Cricetulus griseus: one gene and its partners. The protein of the gene in region 2 purifies or fractionates together with the protein of the main gene of each other region. This does not show direct contact. Links are inferred from orthologs where the notes say so. Each region holds a gene or a part of one and is shown on either strand. Other genes may lie near its edges. The genes, in order: Skap1, Fyn and Cd36.

The links.
Region 1: the proteins of Fyn (region 2) and Skap1 purify together in Homo sapiens (affinity purification with western blotting; 3 studies listed by BioGRID and IntAct, with this or other methods). This does not show direct contact. The link is inferred for Cricetulus griseus from reciprocal best matches to the Homo sapiens genes FYN and SKAP1.
Region 3: the proteins of Fyn (region 2) and Cd36 purify together in Homo sapiens (affinity purification with western blotting; 3 studies listed by BioGRID). This does not show direct contact. The link is inferred for Cricetulus griseus from reciprocal best matches to the Homo sapiens genes FYN and CD36.

Annotation. Positions count from the first base shown.
Region 1 is NC_048600.1:109,631,453-109,642,116, reverse strand, and holds the start of Skap1 (src kinase-associated phosphoprotein 1), read right to left. Parts: upstream 5,778-10,664; coding exon 5,723-5,777; intron 1-5,722. UniProt on the Homo sapiens protein: Positively regulates T-cell receptor signaling by enhancing the MAP kinase pathway. Required for optimal conjugation between T-cells and antigen-presenting cells by promoting the clustering of integrin ITGAL on the surface of T-cells.
Region 2 is NC_048595.1:262,061,443-262,071,221, forward strand, and holds the end of Fyn (tyrosine-protein kinase Fyn), read left to right. Parts: intron 1-5,736; coding exon 5,737-5,945; 3' UTR 5,946-6,910; downstream 6,911-9,779. UniProt on the Homo sapiens protein: Non-receptor tyrosine-protein kinase that plays a role in many biological processes including regulation of cell growth and survival, cell adhesion, integrin-mediated signaling, cytoskeletal remodeling, cell motility, immune response and axon guidance.
Region 3 is NW_023276806.1:176,318,957-176,329,520, forward strand, and holds part of Cd36 (platelet glycoprotein 4), read left to right. Parts: intron 1-1,727; coding exon 1,728-1,797; intron 1,798-2,830; coding exon 2,831-3,018; intron 3,019-4,139; coding exon 4,140-4,258; intron 4,259-5,715; coding exon 5,716-5,789; intron 5,790-6,275; coding exon 6,276-6,330; intron 6,331-7,066; coding exon 7,067-7,231; intron 7,232-9,700; 3' UTR 9,701-10,564.

The DNA of each region.
Region 1 (10,664 bases), on a different chromosome or scaffold from region 2:
TTATAGGCAAGTGTAACAAAAAAATTGGCAACTGGAAAAAGAATAATAAAATAAGAGTAAATCTTCCTATAGTGATAGTTACAGAAAAACAAACTAATCCAATTTAAAAGCAGAGAGGGAGGCACAAGCTTCCCAAAAGCAGAGAGACAGATAAACACTCAGGAAGTCTGGGAAAGCCCTATAGAAACTTACTATTTGGTAAGTTTCCTTTAAAATAGACTCACACGCTGGGCAGTGGTGGCACACACCTTTAATCCCAGCACTCAGGAGGCAGAGGCAGGTGGATCTCTGTGAGTTCGAGGCCAGCCTGGTCTACAAGAGCTAGTTCCAGGACATCCTCCAAAATCACAGAGAAACCCTGTCTCAAAAAAAAAAAAAAAAAAAAAAAAAAAAAAGATGAACACACGGTGGAGGCAGAATACGGACTTATGCTGCACCGGGGCGGGGGTGGGGTGGGGGTGGATACGTGCCTCCCAAAAGCCATAGGTTTCCAAATAAAAAGCCTAGTGCCATGTGTGGACTACCTCCCATCCCCATCAAGCTATTGGTGGTGGGCAGGAGTTACCAAAGACCATGAAAACAGCACAGCCTGTTGCCATTGCTCTAGGCTGCCTATTAGAACTTGATAGTAAGGCCCTACTGCTGAACACATCATACACTGTAGACTGAAGTTTCTGTCCCACCTGGTCCCACGCTGGTCCCACATCCCTTTGGTCCCAAATAAACACACAGAGGCTTCTATTAATTATAAACTGTTTGGCCTATGGCTCAGGCTTCTTACTGGCTAGCTCTCTCTTAATTATTAACCCATTTCTATTCATCTTTGTATGTCCACATGGCCTTATCTTACCAGCGAGTGCCTGGGCGTCCTACATTCCCAGTAGCTACATGGTATCTCTCTGGTGGTTCCTCTCTACATTCCTCTTCCAGAATTCTCCTAGTCTGGTAGCCCTGCCTATACTTCCTGCCTGGCTATACCCTTCCTGTCCATTGGCCGAAACAGCTCTATTCATCAGCCAATAAGAGAAACACACATTCACAGCGTACAGAAGGACATCTCCCATTAATACACTTTGATCATAGGGTTTGGAGAGATTAAGCTGGTGCTATCCTGGAAGCATACTACATGCTGGCTAGTTTTCATAGTACCAGAAGTTTTACCAGCTGTGAAGGCTGAGAGCTAGTGATAACCAGCCTGGCAAGATACTTCTGAGGTGCAATCGTGACATGAACGTTATAGGGTAATCAACCACTTTTTGATTGGATTTAAGGCCTGCTCCATAGGAAAAAACTCATGCCTGGTGCAAAAATGCAGCCAAAAGCCTATGATGAGGGAGTTCCATTGGCCTTAGGGATGAACCTACTATAATTTTACTAATATGCCTTCTGAATATATCTTTCTATCCATAGATAAGTGCATCTCTCGGACCTCATCAGAGAAGCTTTTTGGTATGGACAACAGCAGCTAATGCAGAGACTTACAACCAGTCATAGTACAGAGAACAGGTGTCTGTGGAGGGCTCAAGAATAAAATAGACGTTTGAAGCATACTGCCCTCTCCTTGATGCTCAGAAAACATTGTGGAGCAGAGGACAAAAAGACTGCAAGTGTCACAGGGTGAAACAGTCCTCTGAACATGACAAGACCCTTTGCCCTAGGAGCTTACAACAGTCAATTGACCAAGACAGTCAATATTCCAGCATGGGTAGGGAGGGGCAGACCAGCGCCTAACATAAGCTGATGGTTTCTTGGGGAGGGAGAGTCAATTAGGGGTATGGTATGGTCCCCCTGGTAGATTCACCAAGATCCAGGGGATGTCCCATACCATGAGTGTCTGAGTAGGACAAACTGGACTTGGTGGGTTGAGAGGACATGACGTTGAACCGGATGTAGCTGGGATATGAGAGAGGTTGGAGGGGGAGGAAGGCAGTGAATATGATCAAAATACATTGCATGAATGCATGAGATTCTCAAGGAATGAATAAAGATATTATACTAAAACCTGTAGACTGAATTATATGTTGTCTACAAGAAATACACTTTAATATTAAAACACAGGAAGGCTGGAAGTAAAAGAATGGGAAACAATCAGCAAGACAGACAGAAAGACTAGGGAAGTCAGAACTGCCGCAGTGATGTCAGGCAAAGTATTCTTCAAGGCAGGGGAAAATACCAGAGATAAAGAAGGTTATTTCAAAATGACAAAAGGGCCACATCACTGGGAGACATAACAATTACAAAAGAATATGAACCCAGTAACTGAGCTTCCAAGTACTTGAAGCCAACTGACCTTTTTATAGAACAATATGTCCCATTGCTCTCTCCCTCTTGTCAGTGCTGATGAACCTGGGAACTTGTGTGTTCTAGGCAAGTGTTCTGTTGTTCCCATATCTCTAGCTCTATTAAGTCTTGATTAAAAATTTAAAAGAGAGACTGGAGTGATGGCTAGGTAGGTAAAATGCTTTCTGTTCAAACACAAGGACCTGATTTCAAATTCTGCTACCCAAGTAAAACCTGGGTACAGCAACGCTTGTAACACAATACGTGTGATCCCAAAGCTGATTAATCACCTGTCTGTAGCCGGGCGGTTGTGGTGCATGCCTTTAATCCCAGCACTAGGGAGGCAGAGGCAGATGGATCTCTGTTAGTTCGAGGCCAGCCTGGTCTACAAAGCAAGTTCCAGGACAGGCTCCAATGCTACAGGGAAACCCTGTCTCGAAAAAACAAAAACAAAAACAAACAACAAAAACAGAAGAAAGAAAATGACCCACAGCTGGATTTTATAGAGGCATTTCTCAATTAGGTTGGAAGATCTCAAATGTAGACTGTCATGACATAACCATCCTACAGATGGATGGAATAGCTTCACTGGAAGGAAAGGTGTTGACATAAGTAGACTCGGAAATGAGGAGTCAGTAAAATGACCATCCATGGTGCTGTGTGTGTGGCGGGGTGGGGGGTGGGAGGGTGTCTGTGTCTGCCTGTGCAAGTCTGTGTGTGTGTCCGTGTGTGTTTGTGTGTGTGTCTGGGTCCACATCTGTGTGTGTGTGTGTGTGTGTGTGTGTGTGTGTGTGTGTGTGTGTCTCTGTGGGTGTGTCTGTCTATGTGTTTGTGTGTGTAGTGCATGCTCACACTTATACTAGAGATAGAACTCAAGTCAGACAAGGATACAAGGTAAGACCTTGACAAAAAAAAAAAAAACATCTGAACAACAACAAAATAATCTTGAATTATAACCCAAATTATAAATAAATACTCTTAAGTTCATAAGTAATATAAGTAATTAAGTAAATTAACAAATGGGAAGTAAAAGACAGATCTATAGTGTAGAATTCAAAATAATTTATGTAGATATTTTACTCCAAGATAAAGGAAACATACCTCCCAATCCTTGGGTATGGGCTGTACACAGCCACTTTCTTCCAAAAGACTGCAGAAAGGAAAGGGGAAATAGAGCAACTCCACAGAGGAGAAACTTGACACCAGCCAGGTGTTCATGGTTCAACATCAACCATCATAAATCACACCGACAGTGTGGACCCTTGATGCAATGTGGTGAAAATGATACTTTTGTGATCTTCCTCCCTTAAGCCTGTAACCCAGTCTAAACCTGAGAAGAATGCTAGACACATTCTAATACAGGGTCATTCTGACATTTACCTGACCAGCACTCCTCAAAAGGTTACACTCATTAAAAACAAAGGGAGTGTGGGAGACAGTCACAGCTGTGAGGCACCCAAGAAGACCTGACTGTATCCTGGATAGGATCCTGAGATGGAAAAAGGGCATTAAGTAAAATCAGGAAAACTGAATGAACTGTGGGTTTTAGGTATGTGATGATGCTGGTACGTTAGACATAACCAAAGCACCTGTCATGGCTAATCTTGGCTGTCAGCTTGACTACATCTGGAATCAACTAAAACCCAAGCAGTCGGGCATGCCTGTGAGGGATTGTCTTCATCTCATCATTTGAGGTCAGAAGACCCACCCTAAATCAGGCTCATTTGAGGTCAGAAGACCCACCCTAAATCTGGGCCACACGTGCCGGTAGCCGCCCACATAAGAGGCCACGGAAGGAGGAAGCTTTTCATTTTGCCTGCTTGCCCTCTCTCCCACCATCAAGTTCAGCTATGTGGCAGCTGAGAGGTTCCTTTGCTGTTATTAGAACCCCCGTCTTCAGTATTTCAACACAGACCAGAGACCAGCTGAGATGTCTAGTTTCATGGACTGAAAAACTACTGGATTCTTGGCCCTTCTGTTGGCAAAGTGCACTGTTGGACCAACCAGACCACAGCGTGTAAACCATTCTAGTAAATTAATTCCGTTTCATGTAAATAGATCCATTCTATCAGTTCAGTTCCTCCAGAGGACCCTGACTAATGCAACACCACACAGACGTAAAATGTTCTAATTAAGAGAAAGTGGAGGAAAGAGAAGGGTTAAGGGAACTTGGCATCACCTGTTTAATATTCATGTAAACCTAAACTTTCCACAAAAATTCAATTAGTAAAAGCTGTAAACCATGTAATCTGAATGCGCTAAATCTGATTATTTAGCAAGATGGGTAAAAAACGCTAGCTTCCAAGACTGAACACAGGAGTGCAATTCCTGTGTCCCTTATGGTGGAAGGAGAAAATCAAGTCCTGAAAGTTACACACACACACACACACACACACACACACACACACACACACACACAAACTAACTAGAAAGTTAAAATATAGGGCTCGGTGCATTCATTTTAGAGTCACTGCCACACTCCGGTTGGGCACTGTGATGAGCATCAGAACTTCAGCAGAGGTCACTACCAGGTGGTGGAACGGCAGCTATTCTTACCATCTTATTTGTATTTCTAGATGTGTGTCTATTTCTAAGTTGTATGTTTCAGAATAGAAAAAAATAGTACAATAAAAATCAGTGTAAACCCTGAGATACTCACGGTTTAGAGACCCTTTACTTTCCATTCCCCACCCTGGATTCATTCAGTGGTAGAGGACCTGACTGGCTTTCACATAGTCCTTAACAGGGTAGGGTTCCAATGGGCAGGTACAGGAAGTGGGCAGCAAAGATGATGCTATGTTTGGGTCCTATGGCACAAGCCCATGATCCTAGCTACTCAGGAAGCTGGGGCAGGAGGATGGAAAGTGGAAGGCCAGCCTTAGCAATTCAGTGATGCACTTTCTCAAAATAAAAATACAAAAGGCACTGGAGATATTACTCAGTGATAGGGTATTACCTACCTTGCTCAGGCCTGGGTTCAGTCTCCTGTAGTATATGATGATGATGATGGTGATGATAAAGAAATCTTATGTGATGTGGTAAGTCAAACTGTTCACTTTCTTCTTGTAGAACACACATGGATATGAACTTGTGCACACACACACACACACACACACACATACACACACACACACACACACACACACACACACACACACACACACGCACACACGAAATCATTGAATTTACCTACTAAATTCTTCCTCCACCCAGTTTTACTGAGGTAAAGTTGATATTGGTCCTTACTAAGTTCTTGTAAGTAAAATACCTGCCTACTCCATATGCGGAAATGTACCAATGGGTTATAATTACGGCCCTGTCGAGGCTGCTAAGGATGAGTTGATTCTTTTCTTAAAACTTGTCCTGTTTTAGTTTTCCTTCCGATTAATTATGAGAAAGCCTTTCCTTAGATACTTCAGGAGTGAAGTGTTTGTTTCTTTACCTGCAATCAGCATCTTCTTGGAGAAGTAAAAAGACACAATGATGACCTCTGCCATTGATCTCATTGTTTATTTAGAATGCACTCTACAGATACACCCACAAGCTTTCTAGGTGAAATATAGAGCCAAGAAAACAAGAAGTCAGAAGGAAGGGCTACATGCAGGCTTGTGTTTTTGATATTGCGTTCAGCCTCCAGCAAAATCCTGATATGAAAACACTAAGGAAAGAAATTAGAGAAACTACTTCACTCTTTGATTGAGAAGGTGGAGCTTCTCACGGTGAGAACCCAAGGGGCCTGGGCAAGCCGTCTCGAAGATGCCAGATAGGAAAGAGATCTCAAGCTGTCCTGCAATGCCCCACCTCTCTCTAGTCACCATTCTGCTAGTAGGTTTTCCCATTAAGTAGATAACAGATTTGCTAACAAGAGCTCTTTGTGGGGACTGGAGCTTGCCTGGTGTATATGCAAGCTCCTGGATTTGACATTTGGCACTCAATTTCTTTAAAAAGCTGCCAGATCGAGATGCCTTGGGGTCTCTGCAACTGCAATATCCAGTGTCAATAAGGAGGATGAGGCACTCATGGGGTCTGCCCAACAGTTGCCTTCAGCTAGAGAGTGAGCAATACCATGTGACACTCAAGTCCTCATAGGAAAAGATGCCAGCCACCTGCCATAAACAATGACACACACAAATGCCTCTATTCTTCATCACGTATTCAATGGGCACCGGGAAAACGAGCAGGACACACACGAGCAAAGGACAGACAGTCAAATGCACAACTAGAATTATGACAGGAGCTACCAAAAAGGGAAGTGCGGAGCGTAGGAGTGACATTCACAAATGTCTCTGGAGGTCAGGGACAGAGGTGAGTTACAGAGAATGAAGAGATTTAAACTTGAAGAGCTAAACAAGGTCAGGAGGGGAAAGAAAGGCGGCAATGTTCATCTAGAAGGCACACTCATAAACACATAGTATGGTGCACTACAGTAACACACGATTGCTTTAAATCTCATATTTAAAAGGTAAACACAGCTTTGGCAAAGACATTAAAATTCACACCTGCCCTAAAAGGAAAACGCCCTCAGGTTTCAGACATCTGTGCAAGGAAGTCAGAACAGGAAAGAAAAAAATAAATAAATAAAGGACTGGGACAAGGGAGTAGAAGGCATGTACCACACTGGAGGCACAATACGGTCATCATGTCCCAGCAAATACCCACTAATGCGCTAAGGCTGCCTGCCAGGAGGGGCCCAGACCTCCTGGTTCAAGGCTAGTAAGAGTGTCTGATATTTTCCCCAAATTCTCTGACCTTGTCCCTTTACAAAGTCACTATTTTGTTTATTTGGAGAAGAATAACATCTTAAGGGTCACATTTTTTTTTTCCTAACGACTGAAAGATAAATGTGGCTTCTTCCTGTTTTCTCAAAAACACTCCTGACACTCTGGGGGGAAAATACTTCAGTCAGTGCCGCTAACAGTTGCAAATGTTCTTTGTTGATATATGTTTCTAAAACTCAAAAGTTTGCTTCAATCAACCTTTTATTTGGAGGCAAGATGAATGACCCAGTGCTGCTGAAAACAATTCCACCAACCAAATACCAATAAAAGTGTTCCTAGAGGGGATATTGTGTGAAAGAATTTGAACCGCTAAAGCAGAACTCGCATTTCTGAGAAGAATAATGGATACATTTCTGCCTGTAACTGGCATTGCACCCAAGAAAACAGTTGAGGTGTTTGTTTTGGTCTGTGGGTAAAAAGGATTAAGATAGGTCAAAAATGTTAATTTTAACTAATTAATTGAATTAATTCCATGGACTTACTGGCTAGTACTCCAGGTTTCTTTTGCTCTAAGAAGAACCCCCAAATTATCTGCATATACCATTTAAGCATAAATGACTGTCCTAGCCAGGCAAGACCACAGAAATGCCCAGCTTCTCTGGTTACATTGAGTTAATCCCTGTTTTACTTCAACAACCCTCTGCTGATTTCTGCCATTAATACCTGACCCTTCCCAGGCTCTTCCTTTTATCAATACATCTCCACACCTTTTCTTCCTTATTGCCCATAGATATTTTATTAGTCAGGGCACACTGTGTGGACAGTTTTGTCTACTGTATTTCTACTTCTAGTTTTTTACTTGCTGTTGTCTGTGAGCATTTGCTTAGGACACCACTACTGTTTGAATGCCTGTGTCTCCCCCAAATCCACATGCTGAAACACAGCCACCAATGTGGTAGTATTAAAAGGTGGGACTTTTGGAAGGTTATTGACTGTCCTGATGGAAGTCAGAGCTCTAATAAAAAGAGGCCCTAGGGTCACTACTTGCCCCTTTTACCACGCAAGGGCACAGAAAGTGTCATCTCTAAAAAGTCAAGCAGGTCCTCACCAGACATCAAATCTGAAAGTGTTTTGGTCTTAACTCCCTAGTCTGGAAAACTATGAAAAATAAATATTTGCTGCTTACAAACTGTTTATAGCATAAATGAATATTTGTGGCTTATAAACTGTTTTGTTAGAGCAGCCCAAACGGCCTAAGACAATTATTAAATACTGCTCCCCTGCCTTCAACGGGCTTAGAAGTTACACATTTTAGCATTTTGTCCGTAGTCTGCTTTACCCTTATGATTTAAAAAAGAATGTAATCCTGTCCCTCAAGTTAACAAATATTAATGAGCTGGTGTCTTTTGGTTCTTTCTGTCAATGTGAAGATTTCTAGCCAAGAAAATAATCAATGTTTTATTATGTACATTATGTTTCAAGAACTTGACATGTGTGCATTTATATGACATTTCAAAATCATATCTATAATAACATTTTTCCAGTCACCCTTGTTGATTGCTTACTTTTTGTATCATGAGCTTCTTTCTTGGACTCTTTGTCTCATCTCAGATATTTAAGCTGTGCTTTCTAACATAGTAGCCACTAACTATGTGTGGCTATTTAGATTTGTTAAAATAAAATAAAAATAAGCTGGCAGTGGTGGTACATTCCTTTAATCTCAGAACTTAAGGGGTAGAGACAGGAGGATGAGGGGTCCAAGGCCAGCCTCAACTATATAGCGGGGGTCAGTCTGGTTTATACGTGGCCCTATTTCAAAAGAAATAGAAGTTATATTTCATGAACAGGGTATTTCTTCTTTAATTTTAGTATTTTCTCGTGGGTCCTGTGTTGCTGGAGTTTTCTTTCCAGCCAGGTCCCGTTGCCGCTTTAGCCCCAAATAAACACACAATATTAATTATAAAACTGTTGGCCAATGACTAGGGCTTATTGGCTAGCTCTGTCTTAATTATTAACCCACTTCTATTAATCTATGTATTTCCATGTGGTCTTGGCTTACCAGAGAATGCCCAGACCTGTTACTCCTTTGTGGTCTTCATAGAGTTCCCTCGAAGTCCCTCTCTGCCTACCTTTCCTGGAATTCTCATTTCCTAGCCTCGCCTATCTTCCTGCCTCTATTGATCAAACAGTGCTTTATTCATCAACCAATAAGAGAAATATATACACAGAAGAACACCCCCACCAGTCCTGTATGGAATGTGCTGTATCCTTGTCCTCTCTGTCCACACTCCAATATGGATGGTTGTTTTGATCTTATGCTCCATTTCCTCATCCATAAAAGGAAAATATTAGTAATACCTGTCTCTCAGAATGATATGAAGATTAAATGGTAGATATTTGAAAATGAGTTAAAACAATATGTATAATGTATTAAGCACCGTATACGTGTCTGATAATTAAGGCTAAGGAAGAAAATAATCTGGAACTCTCTTTCTCCTATCATTTAAACAGATGCAACAAACAAAAGAGGGGGAAATGACATTTCATTTTTAAAACTTATAATTAATTGGAAAATACTATTTTTAGCCAGGCATGATGGCGCATGCCTTTAATCCCAGCACTTCAGAAACAGAGGCAGATGGACCTCTGAAATTGAGGCCAGCCTGGTCTACACAGTGAGTTCCAGGATTGCCAGGGCTACACAGAGAAACCCTGTCTCAAATTAACAAAGGAAGAAAAAAAAGGAAACAAAAAAACAAACAAAAAGGACATACCATTTTTAGACACAGATAAGCACACACTTGAAACAAATCTTTCTGTGAGGTTAACAGAGCCCTCCCCTTCAAACATGCTTAGTCATACAAGACTAGATTGATACAGAATTTTTTAAATGCCACCTTGAAGATTCTACAAAGCAAAATTTCAACTGAAACATCAGAATAGAAACACTGTATGTTTGGGAGTCTACCAAGGTGTAGACGTTCAGCAAACTGCAGGCTAGATAACAACGAAGACAATGGGTCAAACTACTCTCCATCCTCGTAAAGTTTCTCATAGAAATCATCAATAGGCTGGAAAGCAGAGGTTCTCAACCACAGGGTCAAGACCACTTTGGGGTTTCAAACTATCCTTCTATAGATTCCCAAACTGCATATCAGATATTTACATTGCGATCCATAACAATAGCAAAATTACAGTTATGGAGTAGCGATGAAATAATTTTATGGCTGGGGATCACTACAACATGAACAACTGTATTAAAGGTCACAGAGTTAGGGAAGTTGAGATTCACTGCTCTAAAGGATGAATGGGAACCTTGAAAGAGTCCTTACAAGTTTCCCGTCCTGTAGAAAGCCAGGATGGACCAATAAGATAAACAAACGCATGCTTGCAAAGTTTCACATGGCAAGGAAGCTGGGGGCGGAATGGGGGTGGGGTGTGAATGGGTTATTTGAACTTCATTCTGAGAACAGTGTAGACGTTAGGACTACCCAGACCTCTGAACTCTTGGTGGGAACTTCCTCCCGGGGGAAACCCACAACTCTCCTCCGGCTCTAGGTCATTTTCAAGAAGCAGGCATCTCAGAGTGTCACACCACACAGGTCCCACGCCTCTACACATGCTCTGTCCTGGTTATCTAGACTTAGAACAGCTGTTGCCAACCAG
Region 2 (9,779 bases):
TTTTGGATTTTCAAGACAGGGTTTCATCCATGAATCTCTGGCTGTCCTAGAACTCACTCTGTAGACCAGGCTACCTCCAACTCACAAAGATCCTCTTGCCTCTGCCCCCTGAGTGTTGGAATTAAGGTGTGCAACACCACTGCCCAGTGAACTTGCAGGTTTTTAAAATTCTTTTAAAGTTGGCCCTTAGCCTGCAAAGCCTTTCTAACTGTATTCAGTTGTCTTCATACGTGGCTGACACAATACGACTTTTCCTAGGTACAAGGTCACATCTGTCCCCTGAGTTCTGGGAAGTTGACCTTGTGTTCAAATACCATACTCTAGTAACCTGATAGGCAGAATGTCCTGGCCGTGCCGTGCCATGGCCCTTAACTGAACACCTGCCTGTGTGCTGGCAGGTCTGGCAGAGCAGGTATGTTCTCTTAAGCAAGTTCGTTTATCCATGTGTTTGAAGCTCCTTCAGATCATTCAGCAAGTGTCAGCTGCTTGATTTTCTTGAGCGCATCTAGTCACTTGATAATGACTTGGAGAGATAAGGATGGCAGGACCGTACAGCTGCTGGCACCCTCTGGGAAGAACAGAGCCCCCTGCCCTCCCCCGCCCATGATCCCTCACCACACAGACAGTTCTCGTGTTCAAGCTGCTGAAAGGGGGAGATTCTGTGTGAAGTAGCGAAGTTTGAACTTTGAGGAAAAGGGGGTAGAAGAGGCTAACCTTAGCAGAGCGTGCCATGTCCTCTGACTGTGGTTGCTCCCCTGTGGTACCCAGGGCCAAAGCCCTCCAGTTCAGAGAAGGGAGCCTGCATGGAATGCTGGCCCTTACCCTGCAAGGTTTCTTTTGGCCAGTGTGGCTGAGGAGAGGATAAGAGAAGACAGGAGAATGTGTGGAGGCAAGAGGACACCATGGGAAGGGACATTCTGCTCTATGTGCATTTTGAACCCGCCCAGTCTTACTGTGCAGGCCCGGCCTTTCTGGTTAGCACCTTCACCCTCCTCTCCCACTTCTCTTTTCAGAGGACAGACAAATCATTAATAGTGCTGTATTATCAAAAGTCAGCTATGGTGGCTGAGGCCTCGTAATCCTATTACTTGGGAGACCTGGGCAGGAGGATTGCTGTTAGTTTGAAGTCAGCCTGGGCCACATAGCAAGACCTGGTCTCCAAAAATAAAAAAAGAAAAGAAAAGCCCAAAAAAATCATAATATTACATCATCAGCTTCAAATAACCTTTGCATGTTGTAGCACCCACGGCCATCATTTCCGATTTTATTAATACAGCGGGTTTAATAAGAACAGCTGCCCCCCAGGAGTTCGGTGAGATGGTCAACAGTAAACAAAACTAGTGATTATTGTGTCTTCCCAAGCAAGGTCAGCCCTTTCTTTCCATCCATACTCTTGGGTCAGCACCCCTCTGGCCCAGAGGTGTACTCTGATCCACGAAGCTTATCTCCAAGCCTCCTGATTGTCCCTGTAAGATGAGAAAACACGTGATAGTCTAATAGCACAAGTGCGTGCAATGGCGCAGTGCACGCTTGTGCTGAGCAAGCGCCATTAACTCTGACGTCCTTCTCTCAGCACCATGTGGCCACTTTGAACAGCGAGCAGGCAGATGGGGTTTTTAGAGAGCTTATACAGAGAATTGAGGGGCCTCAGACGGAAGGCCTCATTCATACACAATATCGTCTTGTTCCCTTTGAATAAAAAGCTCAGTTTGCAAAAGAAATCTGGTATCAGGTAACCTGAGTGTCATTTCCGTTGTTATAACATTTATTTACTCACCGCAGAAGTCCCGATTCCCACAGCCATGGGGGAACTCATGTGCCAGTGTGAACAGAAAACCAAACACGCTGACTACAGATATGGCCCCTCTGAGGCCCCTTGGAAAGCCACACAAATGGAAAGTGGTAAAACATTAGTACTTCTTCTGTAAGACTTTGTCACAAGCAACTGACAGCAAGGTGATGGCTAAGGTGTTTGTTTGACAAAAGGGGAAACTGAGGGTGAAGGAGATCAGGTCCCGAGGGATGGCAGAAAGTCAAGAAGTGACGTCGTGCTCTGCCAATGAAAGTCATTTTTATTCCTTCATTCAAGAGCCTGAAAGAAAAGTGGGGGAGGGTGTCCTGAGCTCGTGTAGTATTCAAAGAGCACTGATGCTCAAGGAGAGGAGAGGTGAGGACCAGAGGTTATCCCTTTGGGAGAAGAAAATGTGTGTGCATATGAGACTACGTGCTGGCCACTGCAGAGTCAGGGTTTGGAAGGAAGGGTTGGAAATCTGACCTCTTGTATTTGAGAAGGAAGCCAGCAAAATGACTCAGAAAGAATAATGCAGTCATAATGTCAGGAAGCAAATGAGCCCATGTGGCCAGAGGACAGTGTTAGGGGCAAAAGGACTGGACGTGTGAGAGCCATGACCATGTGTGCAAATGCAAAAGAAAGATTTGAAGGGAGACTTCAGAACAGCAGGTTGTGGAGACCTGTGAGCTCGAGGCCACCTAGCAAGATCACGTGAGAGTGATCCTCCCAAATGACCCCTCTCCAGGGAAAGAGCAGAGGCCTGCCGCCGATAGCTGAGCTGTGGAGCACAGAAGAGGGTAGAGAACAAATTGGGTAATGGGCATTTTAAAAATGTTACCATGACACGTTTAATTGAGGTTCTGTTTGTGAAATGAAAACTAGCTGAGCCCTTGCTGAGAACTGTGCGAAAGGTTTGTTGGAAGTACCAGTTCTGCAGGAGAGCCCACGTGTGTCCTGGCCGCTGGCTGGTTGGACGAGAGGAAGTCCCAGTCCCCATCCACTTGTCACTCTCAGCCAGTTGCAGTGTCTTATATCCTACTTTTCTGGCAAATCTGTCATCAGCATGTTTCTGTTTCCCTCAGTGTATAGAATTGTTCATGTACTCCCCAGAGGAGAGGACTGGAGAGAGTGCATGAATGGGGTGGGGGAGGGGTGCTGCAGGAAAGGGAGGTGGCCAGCTAGGAAGATGCATTAAAGCTGACAGTGTGGCCCTTGGGGTCTGGCCCAGTCTTTGTCCTGCATAGACTGGGGTATGGCTCTGTCCCATGGCTACAGTGACCCAGAAAGGAGGCCACCCCAGAAAATGTAACATGCCGATTCAGGTTGTCATATCTGCTGTGTCCGAGTCTTGGGCAGAACACTGGAAAAACAGGATTGACCCAAATGGCCAGTTAAAGTTTCCATTGGCAGAGACTGAATTAAAAGTTTAAAAGAAAGGAAATATTTCCATTTGAGGAGTTTGGTTTTTAATGAAATAAAACGTTGCTGACTAAAGATCCAGAGAGCCATGGGAAAGTGGCTAATTGGATTCTGCGGTGCCGCTCTGGGCACTTGGTACCACACAAAGCCTTGGGATGGGTTTGGGATGTTGTGGCTTCTCCCATAGAAGCCTGTTGCACGCTGCAGGCATCTTTGGATCTTTCCTCCAGTTCCAGGGGCTCCTCACAGGAGCCAGAACAAGGGAGACTCCTGCAGACTCAGGCTGTGTGATTCCAAAACCACTATGAAACTAAGAGTTTTATCTACTGAATTGTGCAGCAAAGAATTGCTTCAGAGAATGCCAGTCCCAGTGTGTGGCACCCTCTCTTCCTGAGGTGACTGTCACTTGGGCCGCAGCTTCTTAGCCAAACCCCTGGGAACAGATACACATTTGAATCAGACTTTTTATTTTTTAGTCAATGCAACAGAAGTGTGTCCTAGCATGGAAGAAGAGTCTGGGGCGGAACAGAGGCGAAAGTAAGCGCCATCACAGCACCACCAGATCATGGAGGGTTTGTAGCCAGTTCAGATCTGTGATGCTGCCAAGTGAGTTACAGTAGCTTTCTGATTTCCTGAGCTTATTGGAGTTCGGCGCTGTGGCTGAGGAGGTGGTGGCCTCTGTCCCTTACCATGTTGGGAAAGGGCTGTGGTCCTGTGCCTCCCCTTGCCTCCAGCTCCCCACCTAGATCCTAGCTCTTCCGAATTGGGAGGAGGATCTGAGCTCCTGAGCTGCAGGCAGAACCCAACAGAAGAAGGCAATCCTACACTGGGTTCTGACCTCTCCCAAGGCAAGGGGCTGGCCTGATGTTACCACCTCCAGAAGTGGTAAGGTCAGAGAAAAAGCATCCTACAGGGGTTTGAATAAACAAGTGGCTGGAATAGTTGTAGCGAGGAGACCTAGGTTAGGCCCAGCTTCCAAAGAGTAAAACTAAGAATCACCTACCAATCCAAAAGTGCATGTCTTCCACCGAAGGGAACAGGACTCAGTACCTCTGGCCAAGTAACAGGATTCTGACCAGGTGGTCACCTCCATCACCAGAATTAAAGATGGCTGCATTGCATATATGTGGCTTCCCTACTAGTGACAGCCCTGAGTTTCATGCTATAGATGACAGAAGATTGTAAACTGTCAGAAGTTAGGGAGTATTCCAGATGACAGGTTCACAAGGTCCTGTCACAGAGAAAGAAGGGCATGATATGACAGACAAAAAAAAAAAAAAAAAAAAAAAAAAGGCAAGGGCGAGAGTACCTGAAAGTAGCTGGGAGGTCACACTAAGTGTGGTATTTCCTGTGCTGTCAGGAAGGCCAGTGCAGGGCAGGCTGTGCTCAACCTCCCGCCACGTCCAGTCAAGAACATCAGCACTAGGCAGTTCCTGCATAGGGGCAGGAAGGTGTCAGATGATAGATGGCCTGCCCGAGGTCATCCATAAACAAAGGCCCTGCCTCCCTGTCAAAAGTTCCCAAACCTCCGAGCACTATGGGGGTCACCAGGCCAGATGGTGCCCAGCCCTGCTGGCATGAGGGCAAGTCTCAGACACTGTGCACAGGCATGGTGAAAACTATAAAGGCCCTAAATGGATCGTGTATGTTCTGCAAATAGTAGACTGCTTGCTCATATTCCATGGGGTATTTGTGTGTGCGCTTTGTTCATACAGAGGTTTCTTTTTAATTGTGTTTGTGTGGGGATATCTGCATGTAAATGCAGGTATCTGCAAGGGCCAGAGGTGTCAGATCTTCTGGAACTGGAATTACAGGCAGCTGTGAGCCGCCCAGTGTGCATGCTGGGAACTGAGCCCAGATTCTCTGCAAGAGCAGGACACACTCAGAGCCACCAAGCCATGTCCCCCACTCCTACGTTTTTATCTGTTTGACTGAGGTACAATTTACACACAACACATTTTGTCTAAGAGCCACGTCAGTACACACATGCTACACTGGGGTCACAGCCTGCAGCCCATGGGCCAAGCCTGGCCGCCCACCTGGTTTTATCTTAAGTCCTTTCTGTGGCATGAAGAAAACAAAGCTTGCATTCGCCCACCCAGACAAAAATATTTGCTGTTGGCCCCTCACAGGAAAAGCATGGGCATTGGACACACCACTTCTCTCACTTCTCAGCTCCCCCTGACCTTTCACCGGTGTTCCCTACCCCTAGCAGCCACTGATCTGCTTTCTGTCATGCAGTCTTCTGCCTTCCTGTGGTCTAACATAAATGAAATCATCTAGTATGTTGCCTTTTGTGTCTGGCTTCTTTCACTTGCAGTGCTTTGAGATTCACGGTCTGGGCTTTTGCATCTATGAGTTCTTCATTCCTTTGTTCCGTTCTTTCTGCACGGTGTGACAACCGATGAAAGGCATAGTTCCCCTCCCAAGAGGGTGAATGGCATCCCTATGCTTTACCTGTGTGACATGGTAGTCAAGGCCTAGAGCCCAGGCATGCCTGCTCTCACTGCCCCTTGTTTTTGTAGGCATGAACAACCGGGAGGTGCTGGAGCAGGTGGAGAGAGGCTACAGGATGCCCTGCCCACAGGACTGCCCCATCTCCCTGCACGAGCTCATGATCCACTGCTGGAAAAAGGATCCGGAAGAGCGCCCCACTTTCGAGTACTTGCAGGGCTTCCTGGAGGACTACTTTACCGCCACAGAGCCCCAGTACCAGCCCGGTGAAAACCTGTGAGAGCCTGCTCTTCAGAGACCTCTTCTGAGGCCTCCCCACCCCTCCCCATTAGCTTCCAGTTCCGTAGCCAGCTGCCCTGAGCAGCAGAACCGTCCAGGATCAGATTGCATGTGACTCTGAAGCCGGCGAACTTCCACGGCCCTCATTAATGACATTTGCCCCCCAGTCCGAACCTCCTCTGTGAAAGCATCCAGACAGAACCGTGTTATTTCTCAGACTTTGGAAATGCATTGTATCGATGTTATGTCAAAGGCCAACCTCTGTTCAGTGTAAATATCTGCTCCCGTGCCAACAATCCTAGTACTTTCCTTTTTTAAAAAAAAAACAAAATGCAAATCCTATGTGATTTTAACTCTGTCTTCACCTGATTCAACTAAAAAAAAAAAGTATTATTTTCCAAAAGTGGCCTCTTTGTCTAAAACAATAAAATTTTTTTTCATGTTTTAACAAAAACTGATCAGGACAGGTGTTTGTTTTTTTTCTTTTTTATACATATGAATATATACGTAAAATGTTCCTGTATATACACCATGTGGGTGCTACCATGGAGACTGTGGCCAGCAAAGGCCACATAGTTACAGGGCCCAGAGTGAGGATCACTGGGGAAACCTGCATCTAAGCACTGGTGTTATTTTGAAAGCCGGTGGCCTCCGTTTTTTACTTCTACAAAGCATGATTTTCCCCCCTTCATTTGGATTGCACTTTTTCAGTTCCAGTCATACCTGTAGATTGTTGTTCATGTGACTTTTCAGGTCCCTGAGCTGAGTTCACGCATTTTAGTGCCCGTTTCGCTCCAGCGTACTGTGATCTGTTCTTGCGACTTGAGAGTGAGCACACTTAAGCAAGCAGCCATCCAGTCCTACCCTGAGGGCTGCAAGACGGAGACCGCATAGACTTGCTGTATAGATATGAATGCTGACTTGTTTTAAATGTTCTTCTTTTATTTAATAAATCTTGTAACCACATTTAAATGGTCTAAAACCCATATAGCATTGTAGTCACGGCAGCCTACTAAACTTTCTCATGCAGCTAAAAATGACGGGGAAGGCAAGGGTGGGGGGTTGTACATGTCCCATTGTAAAATAAGTGTTCCAATGTCCTGTACTGCTAATGAATGACTCTCCATGTCGAGCGTACTCCAGTCAATAACTATGCACTACTTTACATTTCATGGGGGTGCACAAGAGGGTTGCGTTTTCAGTTGCTGTTTGTACCAACCTTGAATTACATATGTTTAACAACAACAAATCAATTCCTATTTCTATTGAGTTTTTTAATACTGAATAGCAACTCTAAAGTCTTAATTCCTTTTTTGTTAATGATTTATTTGTGAGTTTACATTTTTAATTGTTTAACTTTCTTAATTTAGTAATTAAAAAGAGAGCATTTTACATTTGAAAAAAAATTTGTTCATTTGTGTACATCACAGGAGGTACCATAGGCGTTCTGTGACATATCTGTCCCACACCAGATGGTGAAGAATCACCTGGTGAATTTGGCCATTGGGCAATGATTTCCAAATGACAGAAACATTCAGAACATCTGGAGACCCTCCCCACTAAGAGTCAAAGTGATTGTCTGACTAATTCAGAGGACTGTTGCAGCCAAACTGGGCATTCCTGAGTGTTGTAGTCTATCTGACCCTGTCTCTAAATGAAATTTACTGTGTCTCATTTGTAGAGGAGAGAGAATAGTCTTTCTTGATCTTGAGACATAAATACATTTCCAAGTATCCCTCTACTTCTCTAATGTTTTCTAATGACTAATGAAGTTGTTAAGCAGGAGTCTATGTGGTGGGTGGGCCAGGTAACCGTCCACCATCATTCCTGCAGAACCTGCGTCGTCTCACCTGCCAGCCAGTGTGCCGACAGGAGGTACAGATGCACTCTCCTTGCACCCTTAAGACTCCAGGGTCTCTGGTGTCATATGGAGCCACACAATGAAGAAGAGGGTTTTATTGTTACAGAAATAACATTTACCTTTAAAAAGGCTTTTTAGCATTGGGGGGATATAAAGCATTTTAAAATCAAAACTTGATTATTTTGGATATGACAGAATTTCAAAATTTTATTAGGTACAATTTTTATCACATTGGACTTCTCATTAACAGGTTCTAGATTTTTTTTATAAAGATAACTATTTTTAATCCTTACCTTGTGTTAGGTAATTTGCAAATATTCTCTGGAGGATTTTTGTTTTGACTTACTGAAAAATTCTGAAAAAGAAACTGTTTTAATTAGAAATTTTTAGAGAAAAAAACGTATTTGCTTTTCATTTCAAGTGAGTTCACTGTGGGTTCTTGTCTATAAAGGAAAACTGAGAACATAGGTCAGCGCCAGTGCCCACTTACGAGAGCAGAACCCTGGAGCATTCTGGAATGTGTGTGCAGCATTGAAGAACAGAAGAAATGCCATCAGGAAGAAATCAGAAGGGTCCAGGTTTTCCCAAGCATCTACTGTGCTTTCGAGCACTAGTCCCCAGGTCACCTCTATGCTAATCTCGATTGGTCCTGAGGTCTCCTCTAGGGAGGCACAAGTGATAAGTGTTGGGGTCAGGGAACTGAAGTTGCTTACCAGAAAGTTCTTACTACAAAGGAAAACATCACTTTCCTGTGACCCAGGTGAATTTTTTGTTTGTTGGGGAGGGGGGATTCTTGTTGTTTTTGTTTAGTAACTCAGAATGAGGACATAAGTACTTGCTGTCTATGAGAGCCACCAACTGGCATTGCTCAGCTGCACAGGATGCCTTCCCAATAAAATCTAAATAAATCCAACACAGAGCTGACTGGAGAAGCCCATTTTCATAGCTCAGGGGTAAATGCGGATAAAAGGGTTCCTCTTCACTCCATTGTGGTTGCATCACAAACTCAGGTTGCAGCAATGAGATACCTCATGGGACCCCGGTAGATGCCAGGTCCCACATGTCAGCATCAGCTCAATGGACTTTTCGAGGCCCTGCCCTGGTGGGAACAGGTGTTTCCATGGGGAAAGTCAAGGGTGATCATGATCCCTCAAAACCTTCCACATGACTCAATATTACTCACCTGGAGACAGACAGGAATCCTTCTGTGGCTAACTCTTGGCAGCAGAGGAGTTTCCTGCTAGCACACAGTTTTTGTCCACAATTTCTCATGGGGCTGTAACAGAGTCTGCCGTGTTAATTGGAATGGTTCTTTGATGGGCAGCATGCTGAGGAGAATAGCACCATAGCTTCCTTCAGAAGATATGACTTCTCTATTGTTGGCCATGACGCAGAACAAGAAAACGCACAGGCTGCGTGTTTCCTAACAAGCTATCTTTGTGTAAAATGGTGTTTGGTCAGCTTGTTCTGAAGGATATTTTAATAGATTCAGATGGCTTTTGTTGGCTTGCTTTCCATTGTATGTTATACTGTAAGATTCAGTTAGGCTAATGTCAAAAATCTATTTTCTGGAGGGAAGATGAGAGGGAGAGAAAGAAGGAGATTGGCTTTTTATCCTGGAGAGGGAAAAAAGCAGCTCGAACAGCGTCATTATCTATGTCTATTTTTTTTTTAATTTTCAAATGTAGATTCTAACTCCATAGAAAATAATGAAAAAGTAATGACTGTAGTATCCTTTAAATATCAAATGAACCTTCATAATAATTTGTGTTTGTATCAATATTCAGAGAAGTTTCATAACATCCAAACCATTCCTCATCTTTACCCAATATGCAAAATGTTCAGAATCCTATGGGGAGGACATGGGGACCAATATATCCTTGTTTTACATTAAAAGTGGGAACATATAGCTAAGTGATAGAGCACTTGCCTTGTAAACCTGAGGCCCTGAGTTCATCCTCTAACACCACACAC
Region 3 (10,564 bases), on a different chromosome or scaffold from region 2:
TGACAGGACCATCAGCCATGAAGCAGAGAATATTGAGGTAGACTAATGAAATAAAACTGAGTAGAAATAGAGATGCATAGATATGAAAAGATTCCTGTGATTTGGGATCAGGAGGGAGAAAATGGTCACTGAACCAAAGATGCCAGCATGTGACTATCATAATAAAAAGGTACATTTTCCTGAAGTTTGAAACACATCCACTGAAAGGACTGATACACATTTAGAGTGCTTCTGTTCAAAAAAGCAACTCTGGAAATGGGGTTATCCTTTGGGTAGTAGACAGTTTGACAACCAAGTATCAGAACCTGAGTTAGGTCCTCAGCTACCATGGGAAAACAAACAAACAAACAAACAAACAAACAAACAAACTAAAACACTGGAAATGGTGGAGTGTACTTGCAATTCTATAACTGGGTAGGCTGAGGTGGGTGGATTCCTAGAGCTCACTGGCTGGCCTACCCAGCCGATTCAGTAAGCTTCAAAGCCCAGTAAGAGATACCTTGGTTCAAAAATGAAGATGAATAACCTCTGCCAAAATATCACAAAAATGGTCCCTAAGTTGTGTCTAAGCCACTTGCTAATATTCTTTTCCTCTAAACAATCTTGAGCAAGGTTTCACAGTTCAAATAGTCCTCAGCACTCTCTTCCATTCTCCTAATAGTATGGCCAATTAAGGCCCACTTAACGCATTCCACTGCTTTTCTAGGCCAAAGTTCCAAAGTCTACTTTCTGCCAACAGGCAGCATTGTCAGGTGTTTCAAAGAAATACCAACTTCCTGATGCCAAGTTCTGTCTTAGTCACAGTTCCATTGCTGTGAAGAGACACCATGGCCATGGCAACTCTTATAAGAAAACCATTTAGTTAGGGCTGGCTTATTGCTTCAAAGGTTTACTCCAATGCCATCATGAAAGGGGGCATGACTGCATGCAAGCAGACATGGTGCTGGAGAAATTAGAATTCTACATCCTAAATTACAGGGAGAAGGATGAATGAGACACTGGGTCTGGTTTGGGTTCGTGAAACCTGAAAGCCGACCCTCAGTGACTTATTTCCTCCGATGAGGCCACACCCACTCCAGCAAGGCCCTGTCTGCTAATTCTTCCCAAGTAGAGACACTCCCTGATGACTAGGCATTCAAATTTCTGCCTATGAGAGCCTTTTGTTTTGTTGTTTGTTTGTTTGTTTGTTTGTTTGAAATAGGGTTTCTCTGTGTAGCCTTACCTGTCCTGGAACTCACTCTTTAGACCAGGCTAGCCTCGAACTCACAAAGATCTGCTTGTGAGTGCTGAAAGTAAAGGCATGTTCCACTACTACCCAGCTATGGGACCTCTCTTATTCAATATGCCACACTCCCTTACAGATATGCTCATGGGCCAATAAGATCTAGGCAACTCTTCAATAGAGGTTTACGACTCAAGTCAGTCTAGGCTTCATCAAAATGATTAAGATAGCTAGGACATCTGTTATAATTGAAATACGCTGGAAGTATATTTATGCTTTGACAATAAAGAATATTTGATTATATGTTGAAAGCTAACTTGTGCATATTTGAATATATGAAATATACTACTTTTTATTTTCTGAAAATACCTCTCTTACTGGTATATTTAAAATCATATACACAACTCATGTTTTATTTGCTGACTACACTAGAAAGAGAGATTACTAGGATTTTCTTGGGTTCACATCACCTAAAAACATTTGTCACTGGCTTGATCGTTAACAGATGCAGCCTCTTTCCCACCTTTTGTTGAGAAGTCTCGGGTACTGCGGTTTTTTTCCTCCGACATTTGCAGGTAAGTTTCTGGAATGTAAACATAGACTTTTACCATTCCAGTCTTAATACAAAAAATAGAAAGCCTAATTATTTACATTATTTGAAAAATAGACAAATATTTCTCTTGCTTTCTTAAGAATGCATGTGGCAATATGGAATTAACATTCTTTATTATTTCAAGGTAGCCTATGCAACTGAACATTTTTTTTTTAGTGGAAGCCATTTTGTAATCATTTCTTAGTACTATTAATCATGTCTGCTGATAAACTTCCAACATCCATCAATCAAGGGAATGCCTGGTCTTTCTGAAGATATCTAGACAGGATGACATATCTGTTATAGAGCTGTATTAATAATTCACACAGTAACTTTTTAAAGTTGGTGGCTTCTAGAATATACCCATGAGTATTGAACTCCTCACAACTACTCCTGATCCTCAATCCTATCCCTGAAGATGAGACTAAGCAATCTTTAGACACCTCAGAATCATTGTCCTATGTATAAAACTTGGGAGAACAGTACTGTGTCACACTGGATTAACAGTACATAGAAACAATGAATATTAAATGAGCTGTGACAAAGTGAACTGGGCATGGAGGGCATGGAGGGTAGAGATTTGGTCCATGCACACACCCCACCAGGAGACAGGCTCTTTCTTTAAGTTCTTTTTAAAAGATGGAAATTTCGTTTAAATTGAGCACATGTAAACAATTTGAATAAGTCATATAAATATTTGTTGCATAGAAGAATTTAACTATGAGAAACATCTTTGACTTTTATTCCCCATGACAGTTCACATGTAAACTTGACCCCAGAAGAATTTTAAGAACTAAAGAATTCATATTTCATACTTGTGGTTTTAATCATGGTGTGTTGTAAATAGTGAAAACAACACCAGTAATTTTTCCTAAGAATTTAAAATTCTATCAGGAATCTATGACTGTTTTCTAAGTTAAATCAGGAACACAAACTAGATTTAAATAAATGAATCAGATCTCCAGAACAGGATTCAGGCTCCTAATATGAAGCTCTTTCTTCAAATATCCATGTAGATCCATCTACGCTGTGTTTGGATCTGATATTGAACTTAAAGGAATCCCAGTGTACAGATTTATTCTTCCAGCCAAGGCCTTTGCATCACCAGTCCAGAACCCAGACAATCACTGTTTCTGCACTGAAAAGGTCATCTCTAATAACTGTACATCATATGGTGTGCTAGACATCAGCAAATGCAAACAAGGTATGTAGATGTGCTTATTACCAAAATTCATGTATATGCTTTATTTAATAATACTTGGGAATTTTATTAATTAAGTTGTACCATACTTTTTGATAGGGCTAGAAAACATTGCATTATGAAAAATAAAGCATATTCACAAAGATAGATATCAAAAATTTTCTCTTGTATGCAGAATGTATAGTTAAATCTCCTTCTCTCCTGTGTGTGTGTGTGTGTGTGTGTGTGTGCGCGTGCGTGCGTGCGTGCGTGCGTGTATGTGTGTAAGCTTTGAAATTATAATGGGGACCATAATAGACAAGAATGAATTCCTAAAGTGGGGAAGATACAGCAATGAAATTCATGTGACAAGGAAGTTTAGATGAGGGCTGCTAGTTAGTTATGGAAAGGAATCCTCAAGAAAGAGTAGATGGAGGGGTTAAGTATCATAACATATAATGCAATATTTACCCATAATTCTTTTTATTAAATATTTAAAAATTAAAGAAATAATGGTAACCTCTGGTGACAGTGAATCTTTGGTGTTTTATTTATTTATTTATTTTTTAGGCTTCCGTTGTGTTTCAGTATTGCAAAATTAAGCTATTGGGAAAATCACATTGGTATTATGCCATGTTGTTTGGTGGTCAGGGAAAATTCCCAGGATACAATGAGTTTCCTAACCATCTACCATGGTTGTGGCTTTTTGCCCTTAGAAAATAGAGAATAAAATTAAATAAGCTTTCATTATGTCCCTAAAGTAAGAAGTGAAAAGTAAAGAACTCAAAGTCTTCCTTGTCTTGTTTACATTCTTTATAGTACAGTAAGAATAAAGAAAATACAAATTACTGAGATGTTCAGTGCTGTCATAGCACCTCCTGAAGTTTGAGAACATGTATGACGCCCAGATATGTGCTGTTCTCACTTGGTTTAGTGGTGAACATTTGAATTCTGGAAATCAGTGTCTGAAGAAACAGATGTCAGCTGGCTGCATAATAATAAGCAGGTGTAATTCTCTTCCCTCAGCAGTTCAAAAACATTTATATTTTAATCTATGAAAGCTTTATCTTCTAACAAATATTTTAAATGATTCTATGCAATGAAAAATAATCTATTTCCAATTGTCTCTTAAAATGTGTCTTCAGGAAGGCCTGTGTACATTTCCCTTCCACATTTTCTACATGCAAGTCCTGACATCTCAGAACCTATTGAAGGCTTAAATCCAAATGAAGAAGAACATAGGACATACTTGGATGTGGAGCCTGTAAGTTGTTGTCTTATTGATCTGATTTGGTTAATATTCTTCTAAAATTTAAGAAAATAATTTTATCATATTCTTGGATCATATCCTTAAGATCGCTAAAACTGCCAATGCGGCTAGAAACTTATTTCTTCCTATTCTATGCATACATGGCATATAATTCAATTTTGGTTTTAACACATGAAATCTTACAAGGCTTTTACTGGCCTAAGGATCCAGGAATTCTTTTTTTTTAATTTTATTTAAATTAGTAACAAGCTTGCTTCGCATGTCAGTCTCAGCTCTCTCTCCCTTCCCTCCTCCTCCACCTCCAATGGACACCCCCCAAACTTCTCACTCCATCTCCCCCTCTACATCCCAGGGATGTTGAGGCCCTCCATGGGAGATCCCCAAAGTCTATCATATCATCCCAGGCAGGGTCTAGGCCCTCCCCAATGTTTCCAGGCTGAAAGAGCATCCCTCCATGTGTAATGGGCTCCCAAAGTCCATTCATGTGCCATGGATAAATACTGATCTATTACCTAAGACCCCATGTTCAGGGGGTCTGGGTCAGTCCCATACTGGCCTCTCAGCCATCAGTCTATGGTCCATGAGCTCCCCCTTGTTCAGGTCAGCTGTTTCTGTGGGTTTCACCAACCTGGTCTTGACCCCTTTGCTCATCACTCCTCTCCTCTACTTCTAATAATAATTTCATACATCATCATCATTATCATTATCACACTTAACTGGCATTGTTTTTGTGAGGAATCTTTGCTTTCAGGAATCAAAGATATTACCATTATATGTAAGTTTCAGAGAAAATCCATAACCAGACAAATGTATAACAGTTGTATTACTGTTATAGTACAACTATTAACATTTAAATTATCTTAGTGTTCTTTTCAAAACCTTGAAGGGAGACTATGGTTGCAGCTCAGTGGTCTAACATTTGCCAGGCATGTATGCTCTGAGACTAGCTCTCAGCTTCTAAGAACTGTGAGGGACATATTTCTGCTAAAATAATGGAAGTCTGTAACAGAGCCTTTTACTGATATGTGGACTGTAACTAAATAAATATCTGAACATATAATTTAGGAACTAAATTAACTATCTGAATTTGCCTTTTTTATATTTTTTACTAATGTTTTTGATTTCTTCTAAGCCAAATTATGTGGATTTAACAACTTAAAGAAAACTTTAATGTTAGCTAGAACAAGAAAATTCTCTCTCAAGATATATATATATATGTGTGTGTGTGTGTGTGTGTGTGTGTGTGTGTGTGTGTGTGTGTGCGCACAAACACATGTTGGACATGATTGCATATACTTAAGCACAAAGTTTAATAAACTCTAATTTCCCATCCTTAAGAATTCTTCCCTTTTAAATTCTAAAGAACTATCTTTGTGTCACAGAATGGTAAAACCTGACTATTACAAAAGAATATTTTAGAAGCTTGTATATGTTTAACTTCCTCTTTTTAGATAACTGGATTCACTTTACAATTTGCAAAACGACTTCAGGTGAACATCCTGGTCAAGCCAGCCAGAAAAATTGAGTGAGTCTCTTTAACATGTTGTTTTATGCAGTGAGTAGCATTTTCTTACAATAATGTGGGTAGAATAGTAAAATTGGAATGTCTTAGGGTTTTTCATCTTTACGTCATTGCACAATTATTAAATGCTTAGGACTCTTTTTACTAGAAGAATCAGATATAGTGCTTATTGAAAAGGCTTTTAGATATTTTAACAATGTTAGTTGAATGTTGTTGGGGGCTTCTCTTATGTGCATTATTACTACTACAATCACTTCTATATCATATACTTTCCTAGATTTAAATTTGTACCTATAAACCAATAATATAATTAGAAATATACATTAGCTATATGAATTGAGAATCTGGAAAACATCTGTTTTATAATGTATTCATTGAGCAGAACTTGAGCAATACATGAGATTAATTGAATTCTGAAAATTTATTTATTCTAAATGTCTTTTATATATGTATGAATATACCAATAACTATTTTTGATGTGTATTATAGAGCATTAAAGAATCTGAAGAGAAATTATATTGTACCTATACTTTGGCTTAATGAGGTTAGTATTTTATTATTCATTAATTACAGTTTATGCAAAAGATTTGGTATTTTTAAATGACATGTACTATAATATTTGAGGATGTATTTACATTTCCTATAAACATGATCTTACACTTTGACATCTCTATTAGAAAAAAGCTAATTTACATAGGGATATTTAAGTTTTATGGTTTGATTTTAAGACAGACAAATGATTTTACACATTTTACTTGTCATAGTACTAAACAAAGAGACATGCATACATGTAACATCACAGAATTCAAGACTCATTGAATATAACAGTGGTATTAAAAAGCCAATTTTTCCTAAACATGACATATTAGAATATACTGACAACCTTTTGACCGATAAGCTATTTTACTGTAAACTGCTAAATTGATTAATCACAGATTTAAAAAATGCATTGCAAAAACCCTCAAAGCAAGCACAACTGTTGATCTCTGCAATTTCTCCCTGACACCAGGAAGCAACATTTGGTAAGTTGTGAAATACCAAAGAATTCCAAAGATCAAATGAATGTTGGTACATAGCTGAGTTCTATTCACATAAGCCAAGTGGGAAGGGAGACATCTGTACACTGGCCTGTGCAGTGCATCTACTTTTGGATGCAAAGTGAATTGTACTGACTTTCTGATGCAGCTTATCCTTACCCAAATGTTTAAAGAAAGGATGGCATAGAATTATTTTGTTTCATTAATTTACTCAAATAATATTAATTGTTAACTTGATTACAGACTGGAACTATTGGCGATGAGAAAGCAGAAATGTTCAGAAATCAAGTGACTGGAAAAGTAAAGCTTCTTGGTCTGGTAGAAATGGTCTTGCTTGGGCTTGGAGTCGTGATGTTTGTTGCTTTTATGATTTCATACTGTGCTTGCAGATCCAAGAATAGAAAATAAGTAAGTGCTCTAGCAAAGTATGTATTCTTTTACTATTTTCATCTTACTAAAAATGGCTATAAATTAGGGCAAAATATTTCTAGACATGTTTAGCCAATTATAATATCTTAATATAAATCCCAATTTTGATTTTGGTAAATTAAAAAACAAATGATTATTTAAATGGTGACCACTGTAAAATTAGCATAAATATAGCTTTTGTCTAAATTTAGACTTACAAATTTCTTTTGTGTCAATCATTGAAAATTATAATTTATTAAAATTATAATTATAAAATTTTAGTAGATTGAAATTCATAAGAGCAAGATAAAAAATGAAGATATAGGAATATATAGATTTTGATGAAACAATGTAAACAAATATCATCATAAAACTTGATTGGCTGCCTATACACATTAGCCATACCTTTTCCCATTCATGGGTTAACAGCATAGCATCCTGATGATAAAGAAATCACTAGGTGAAAATTAGAACATAAAATTACAAGAAAATCAGTTAATTAATTGAGTAACCTAGTTTAAAGCAAAAGTAGGTAATTGTAGATAATACTTAAGAGTTTTGGCAAAACTTTTGAGGGTGTTCAAGGCACTATGTATATTAATGTCCAAGTTTTTCTACATAAAAATGAAAGTGTAAGTAAATTAGCCTGGGCTAAAAGTGAACTAACTTGGAAGGAAAATTTCCCAATATATGCCCCCCACACACACAACAAATGCAGCATGAGTAGAAAATGCTTGGTTTGAAAGATTAGAAATTCCAAATAAAACGCTTTATTCTCCTTAAGTTAGAGATTAACCATAAATTGTCTTATGTAGAAATTTTTATTTTTATCTCATTAACTGATATTGAACAAATACTAACCATGCTAGACTTTTATTTTGTTTTGTTTATTTTTGAGACAGGGTTTCTCTGTGTATGTTTGGAGTCTATCCTGGCACTCTCTGTAGACCAGGCTGGCCTTGAACTCACAGAGATCCACCTGCTTCTGTCTCTCAAGTGCTGGAATTAAAGGCCTGCACCACCAATACCCAGTCATGCTAGACATTTTACAAGAATTATCACATCATTCCTAACTGAATTTTTTGTGTTTCCAGTAACTTGAACTAAACACTATGATATGTCTTCTGAGACATTATAGAATATTATAAAATATCTAATTGTCTATGTTGAAGTCTAGGTTAATCACATTAGTGTTTTCAAAACTAATGTGGAATTTTACCAATATTTATTTTGTGGGAAATTGAACATTTTTATTGGATAAAGCAGCTCAATGTTGTGCTCTGGATAATTTCTACCACTCATTCTAAAATTTGTTTGCACAACATGTGCTTAGAATGCTAACCTGACATGTCCACATTGTAATAGTTAACATAGGAGGGGGAGTAATGTCAGGGAAGCTAAGAGCATCATTGCTCTTCCCAAGGACCCAGAAGGTGGCTGCTGGCTCTGGGGGCAGGAGGTTGATGCCTGCTCCTGGCCTCCACAGTCATTGCACAGGCTGATACACAGATATACATGCAGGAAAAATACTCATCCGACTCATGAGATCAAAGCAGCTAAATCTACAGCACAGAAACATTATTTTCAATAAAAAACAGAAGAAAATAAATAATATTCCCCTCCAAAAGTTAAAATACCTTAATATTTCCTGTTAGCCCGACAGCAAGTTATGATGTATATTCATGTGTCTATGATAGGTTAAAAAAAACTATCCACTAAAATTGATCAAATCGCTCCTCAAGTACAAAAGCATACCTATGCAAGTTATAATTTTCTTTAATTACATGATTAACTTAATCATTGCTTAATTATCCTCCAATACAAATTTCCTTAGATTCTTCTATGACTAATTGGTAAAAACAATTAAAAACTTTTAATGTCTTCATCACTAAGTGTCTGTTTTATGAATGCTTTCCATTGTTATGAAGAAAGCATTTTCCCCATAAACAGACTTTCCTTGGCAATACCTTGATTGTTCCAGGCTTAGAATTTTGAGGGGCCATGCTGGAACATTCTAAAAAGCATGTGTCTGGCACACATCTGTAGACAACATCCTAAAAGGAGACAGCTGTCTAAACGGAAACATGTAAAGTGTTAAAGAGAATGTAGTTTACTGCATACATCATGCGGGAAATGGACCAAGCACATTTTGGTTGTAGTGACATATCCTCCTCTTTATGGAAGACAGTCTTGAGTGTATTGTGATGTTTGGCAGCTGATTTAATTAGCTACCCTCCCTGGTCTTATTATGCTCAACTCCTGCAAGTTAGGATTCAGCTTTCAATGTGTAATTCGTGGATAGGAACATGTGTTCCCTTAATGATGAATCTCTTAGAGGATCTCTCTCTTAGTTTGAGATATTGGGCTGTATAATTGAAAGTATCATAACTTGGATATGTAGGGAAAGACTATTTTAGCTAATTGTTATCCCACTGCTTTCTGATTGGTAATGTTTCTTCTACTTTACAGGTAGCAAACACGACTACATTTACGCACTGGCTACATGAAGATTTTTGATAAAACCAATCTAAAAATGAAGACTTAATATATGCTTTGTTTTTACAAAACACACCTATATTTAGTTGAAGAAATGGTGGTGTGTGTGTGTGTATGCTCTCTCTCTCTCTCTCTCTCTCTCTCTCCATATATATATTATATATATAATATATATATATTCACTAAGCCAAAGCATATTTCAAAATGATTAATTTGACACTGTAGCCTATATTTTTATAAAATCCAGTACTTTGTAAAGTCCGTCATTTGTAACCTTGAGTGGACTTCAATTTCTTTAGAACCAATTTTTCTTGTTTGGTTCTGATTTATTGTTGCACTCCATGATGGCAAATTTCAAAAGTGTACATTCTGAGCAATTTTTCTTTTCTTCATTTGTGGGAAAACACCATCATGTATGGGGTGTCACCTTCATTTACTGCAAATGTACCTTGGGACTATTAACATAAAGTATCTCATAAGTATGAAATATATGGAAAGATATTTAAGATTGAAAAATGAATAGCAGGCATATGAGCCATTGCTTATATATTGTTTGTCTCTTCCATGCTAGAGTCCTTGGCACAGCAAGGTCAGAAATCACAGCGATTTTCTTTTTTACTTCCTAACACTGAGCTCATAAGGTTTGTCCCTCACCATGAAATGGACATTTTTAGCTTTTCTTACTTAAAGTATGTTGCCATATTCTGTGCTGCATAGCCCTTTTAAAACCTGAACAGGCTTTCCTCTTTCTGCTCAGCTGCAACTAATGCAAACTCAAGAGTTGTTATAGTATTGAGATGTAAATGATAATAAAGGAATTATTTTAAGGAATATTAG